2 linked regions of the Kluyveromyces lactis genome follow. The protein of the gene in region 1 interacts with the protein of each later gene in a biochemical or structural test. Links are inferred from orthologs where the notes say so. Each region holds a gene or a part of one and is shown in the gene's direction. Other genes may lie near its edges.

The links.
Region 2: the proteins of TIF5 (region 1) and SUI3 form a complex in vitro, tested with the Saccharomyces cerevisiae proteins (6 studies listed by BioGRID, with this or other methods). The link is inferred for Kluyveromyces lactis from reciprocal best matches to the Saccharomyces cerevisiae genes TIF5 and SUI3.

The regions. Positions count from the first base shown.
Region 1 is NC_006041.1:552,021-555,126, reverse strand, and holds TIF5 (translation initiation factor eIF5), read left to right. Parts: upstream 1-1,244; coding exon 1,245-2,441; downstream 2,442-3,106. Other genes in the region: EMC2 (Emc2p), read right to left, coding at 1-714; BIR1 (survivin), read left to right, coding at 3,016-3,106. UniProt on the Saccharomyces cerevisiae protein: Catalyzes the hydrolysis of GTP bound to the 40S ribosomal initiation complex (40S.mRNA.Met-tRNA[F].eIF-2.GTP) with the subsequent joining of a 60S ribosomal subunit resulting in the release of eIF-2 and the guanine nucleotide.
Region 2 is NC_006040.1:750,408-753,295, forward strand, and holds SUI3 (translation initiation factor eIF2 subunit beta), read left to right. Parts: upstream 1-1,535; coding exon 1,536-2,372; downstream 2,373-2,888. Other genes in the region: RTP1 (Rtp1p), read right to left, coding at 1-144; YAR1 (Yar1p), read left to right, coding at 421-1,041; ADD37 (Add37p), read right to left, coding at 2,789-2,888. UniProt on the Saccharomyces cerevisiae protein: Component of the eIF2 complex that functions in the early steps of protein synthesis by forming a ternary complex with GTP and initiator tRNA.

The DNA.
Region 1 (3,106 bases):
CCAACCTTTCACGTAGGCTTCTGCCAACTCAACAGATCTCAACGCATTTGATAAACTTGATTGCAAAGCAGCTTCAGGGTCAGAATCTGATTGAGACTTCAAGTAATGCAAATAAGCTAATTGACCAAATGCTTCATAACTGAACGGCACCCCAATTATGACTTCTTCCATGCAATATATTGCTTGACGTAGGTCCCCAGCCTCCTGGTATTCTTGCGAAAGTAACGACCATATTTCTGCATCTAGAGGAAACTTCTCAACCAGATCCAGTAGTTCTTTTACCCATTTTTCTTTACTCATCGAAGGTCTCTCTATCGCAAGTAGCCTTTTCTTCATCTGTACGTAGTCTTCTGAATCAGTAGCTATTTCCAGCTGATTCTTGATCAAATCCTCGATATATTTCTTAGCCGCATCATCGGATCGAGTGACCTGTATTAACATAGAGTGCATCACATGAATTCTTGGAGAATCGTCACCTAGACGATCTGTCACAGTTTTGTACAATGTTTCAGCCTCTGTGTCTTCACCACGAACAAGACAAAGATAAAACAATAATTCGACCATTGAGAAATAACTAATTTCGTCAAGCCCATTTAACCCAGCATCTATCAAAAGTTTCGTTTCCTTATAAGCCAAATCAATTTCTTTAGGTGGCAGAATGGCCCATGCGCCAGTCTTATGGATTGCCAGTAATTTGTTCTTAAGTAAATCCATGATATGAACAAAGTTAGATTTCGACCCTAAGATGTATGTGAGATTCGAGCACAATTTCAACACAGTAAATTACTCACTAAATTCCACGAGCAGTAATTGTATTGAAGGTATTCAAACATTTAACACCACCATACGTATCTCACCCATGTTATACCCTGTAATATGTCTCTTACAGAACCGATGCTTAAACAATCACAGAGCCAAATGAATCGTTGGAGCTAAAGCACGTGACACATGCTCCGTTTCGACATGTATTTTCATATCACCATAAACGACGAAAATTTTTCAGGAATCAAGGCCTCAGTATCTGATTGCCACACGCGAAGAGTTGAAGTTGAACTTCTAAGAGATGAGATGAACTTCTTCCATATACATGATTCAAGAAGGCGTTAATGACCCCGTTTTACAGTCCAATACAGGATCAGTTCGAACTTACTTTTAAAAGTTTTTGTGTTTTCCAGACTTGAAGAACGTCAAAGACACGGTGGTAGCAGAAACAAGTGACTAGAGATTAGTAACAGTAGCCGAAGATGTCAATCAATATTTGCAGAGACAACAATGACCCTTTCTACCGTTATAAAATGCCTCCAATTCAGGCTAAGATTGAAGGTAGAGGTAATGGTATCAAAACTGTTGTTATGAATACCATGGATGTTGCCCGTGCTTTAAACAGACCAGCTCCATACATCATCAAATATTTCGGGTTTGAATTGGGTGCCCAAACTGCTATCAATGTTGAAAATGATCGTTACATTGTCAATGGTGCTCATCAACCAGCCAAATTACAGGACGTATTGGATGGTTTCATCACTAAGTTTGTCCTTTGTGGATCCTGTAAGAATCCTGAAACTGAAATTGTTATCACTAAAGATGGTGATTTGGTTAGAGACTGTAAAGCTTGTGGTAAGAGAACCCCTATGGATTTGAGACATAAGTTGTCCTCGTTCGTCTTAAAGAACCCTCCTGACAGTATGAACGGTTCCAAGAAAAAGAAGAAGGCTGCCACTGCGTCTGCTAATGTCAGAGGTGGTGGTCTTTCTATTAGTGATATCGCTCAAGGTAAATCCCAAGCTGAAGCTGGTGACGATGCCGAAGAAAACGATTCCGATGATGATGAATTGGCCAGACAAATTAATGCCGCTGCCTCTAACTTGGCTACCATTGAAGTCAAGGATGAGGACTGGGCCGTTGATATGTCTGAAGAAGCCATCAGAGCTCGTGCGAAAGAATTACAAGGTGAAGCTGACAAAGAAACTGGCGAATTCTCCAAGTTGGAAGAATTTGGTGAATGGGTACTACATGAAGAAGAACTACCTACCGATATTGAATTATACAAAAAGATTGCAGAACTCGAGCTTCTGGAAGATCCAAAGGTTGCTGCAGTTCTGGCCCAAGTTCTTTTCGATGAAGATATCGTATCGGATATCTCTGAACATACTGCGTTCTTGCAAAAATTATTGAAGGACGAAGACTTCGAAAAGAACTTTTTGGGTGGTATTGAAAGATTCCTTGGACTTGATCACCAAGAATTGATCCCATTACTACCAAAGATCTTGGTCCAATTATACAACAACGACATCATTTCCGAAGAAGAGATTATCAGCTTCGGTACCAAATGCTCTAAGAAGTTTGTACCAAAGGATGTTTCTAAGAAGGTTCGTAGAGCTGCCAAGCCATTCATCACTTGGTTGAAAACTGCCGAAGAAGATGATGAGGATTCGGAATAAAGAAAATCATGATCTTATAAGAAAATGGTCAAAGTTCAAATACTATTCAAATTTTAACCAGATTTTTCGGTGTTTCGTTTTCTATTTATCATCCTAACCATCTCCTTGTTTTGCATTAACAGAATAAATATCATTTTCATTTTATCAAGAGCGAACTAAATCTCTTCAATATTTATCCTTTAGCTCTGTAAAATACTGTATGTATACTATCATATATACGCATATGTTTAATACATTCATGACCTTGCGCATACATCATTAGCGGCTCAAGAATGGCACTGATAGGTGCGCCGTGCCGACCTGCCCTTGTCTTCTTATAACCTATTTATTGTCTTTCAATATTCAGCTGTGATGATCCTTTTCTCTCTTTTGTTTACACTTTCGTGGAAAAAGAAGACACAATTTGAGATCAAATCATATTTACATCCTGAATGGACAAGAAGAATACTAGGTCCTGTCAAAAGAGAAGAATAGGGTGCGAATCTTGTTGGAAGAAGAGTAAAAATACACTTTCATCAGACGGTTTCATTACATGAATGATCTGTAGGTTTGATTTCTATGGCGTACTGTAACAATGAATGATTCCAACCTCTCGTCTGCAATGGATCTTTCATTCCTGTCAGAGGAATCGAGTTTGCAGCAAATAGGCTCTTTGAACACGCCTA
Region 2 (2,888 bases), on another chromosome or scaffold:
TAATGATTCGTAGATATCACCAATATCGTCATTATGTTTTATAGGTTTAAGGAATTCATCTAACTCTTGAAAGAATGCATCAATTGGAGTATCGCTTACGAAATCAAGCTTCCTAGATAATACTTCTGTCAATTTATTTGACATTTTGTGAAACCGATGTCAGGTCTTGAAGGCGCAGCTGACACTCTCCCGATGTAGGCGTGATCATGTTGTTCTAAAGAGAGGTGCTCAGAGATGTCCTGAATTATATTTAAAGCCTTTAGCACATCTATTTCGGAGAAAAAGAAAAAGTAACCTTTTAACATGAAAAATTGAAAAGTTCACAGAATTTGGATTATGAGATGAGATGAGCTAAGATATGAACAGAGAACAGGAAAACTACGCAATCAAGCCCAAAATACAGAACGAAATTATTGTAAGATGAGTCTACATACAGGACCTTTAGATCAAGAAGATCAAGAAGCTATCATCGTTGATGCAAGAGCTGGAGATTTGGAGTCTCTTAAGGATATTTTTACCACTTTGATAGATCCAAGTGCACTCATTGAATGTACAGATGAATTGTCTAAGTCATCTGCCTTGCATATGGCAGCCGCCAACGGTCATTTCGAGGTGGTAAAATATCTACTAAGCATTTTCCCAAAGGATAAACTAAAGGAATGGGTCAACAAGCAAAACGAAACAGGTAACACTGCATTGCACTGGGCTTCGTTGAATGGTAAATTGGATATAGTACAGCTTCTTTGTGAAGAGTATGAGGCTGATCCATTCATCAGGAATAATTTCGACCATGATGCCATCTACGAAGCTGAAAACAACGGACAAGAAGAGATAGAAACATATTACTTGAAGAAGTTCGACGTGGAACCCGAATCGACCGAAAATGAGGAAGAAACTTCATCGGAAAAGGAAGGAGAACAAGCCTCACAGCCCGCATCTATCGACAACGTCCAATTTAGAGAAGGTACAGAGATTGAACAAGTGACCAAAGAAGCTACAGAAGCTCTAAGAGAGCAAACTGAAAAGCTTCAACTAGAATAAGTTTCCTCTGAAAATGAACCGTGGTCAAAAAAAAATCATTCGGCTGGAAAGCTGTATTGTGGCCAATTTGAGCATAAAATATGAACCAAATGTCCATGTACATAACTGTATACTAATCATCAATAAACATAGGTACACCTACCTCATGCGCCCAACAAGCGGAGTTTTATCTAACCAGACTCAAAGGCCAAAGAATAGATAAGTCACGTGTGTTACCCGAACACTGAACGTGCACAATGACAACACTATCGCGTGGCCTGGGAAAATTTTGAAAATAGTGAGTTTTCGGAAAACCAAGAGAATTGAAACGACTGGATCGCAATTGTCATCGCTATTCAATATCCTATTGGATTCTTCAGCTCATATTTGCACAAGGGTAAGACAACTTCTGTGGAAATCTGTTGGCAAGAGTCTAGTTCGTGTAAAGTTCAAGGCCCTTTCCGTTATTACTAAGGAGATTAGCAAGAAGCGAGAAGATACAAAGATACTCAACGATGACTGATGTTGCGGCCGACTTAGGATTCGATCCAACGATGAAGAAGAAGAAGAGCAAGAAGGTAGTTCCGGAAGAACTGATTGCTGCTTCCACCGAGGGAACAGATGATCTTTTTGCTGGTTTGAAGAAGAAGAAGAAGAAGAGCAAGGAAGGTGAAGAAACCACTGAGAAGCAAGTGGACGACATTTCAGATGCTCTAGGCGAATTGAAGTTGAAGAAAAAGAAGAAGAAGGCTGCTGCTGCCGAGAGCAGTGTGGATGACTTTGAGAAGCAATTAGAACAAGCAGGTATTTCAGTCGATGATATTGCCAAGGAGGCCACTCCAACTGAAATCGATTCTAGCATTCAACAAGATGTTGGCCTACCATACCAAGACCTATTGTCTCGTTTCTTTAAGATTTTGAACACAAATAATCCTGAATTGGCCGGTGATAGATCAGGTCCAAAGTTCAAGATCCCTCCACCAATCTGTCAAAGAGATGGTAAGAAGACTATATTTGCGAACATCCAAGAAATTAGTGAAAAATTACAAAGATCCCCAGAACATGTAATCCAGTATCTATTTGCGGAATTGGGTACCTCAGGTTCTGTTGACGGTCAAAAGAGATTGGTCATCAAGGGTAAGTTCTTGCCAAAGCAAATGGAAAATCTATTAAGAAGGTATATTCTGGAATATGTCACCTGTAAGACTTGTAAGAGTATCAATACCGTATTGAAGAAGGAACAATCGAACAGATTGTTCTTCTTGGTTTGTAAGAGTTGCGGTTCTACTAGATCCGTTTCCTCCATCAAGACCGGTTTCCAAGCCACCGTCGGTAAGAGAAAGAGAATGTAGATTAATTGATATGACGTATCAAAATAGTAGTATCATTAACATCTACCGAAAAATCAGAAAAAACTTCGACAATCTTCTAATGTTCAATACGATACAGTTCGAAAGGAATCAAATAAACCTCATAAGGCATAGCTAATATATTCATGGTTGAATATTTTCTCCAGGGAGCATCGCATCGTGCAATTCACACATAACATATGAATAACACCAAATACTTGAAAAGAAATGAGAATAGAAGGTATCTTCATCCTTCTTTCACGTTCATTATTAATTTTTTTTCTGTTTGTGTATGTTATCTAATGGTTTTTATCTAATCTGTAATTTAGTTGTTATAAACAAAACGACGAGATCAATGCTCTAAAAGATCAATTTAAATTTAAGCTCTATAATCTGAAACCCTTCCCCCAGTTAAAATATCATATCTGTGCATTTTCGATCAATTTACGGAAAGAAGGACACCACGAATTCACCGACATATCCGACAGCATCCATTTTGTAATTAAATCTGTAACCCGT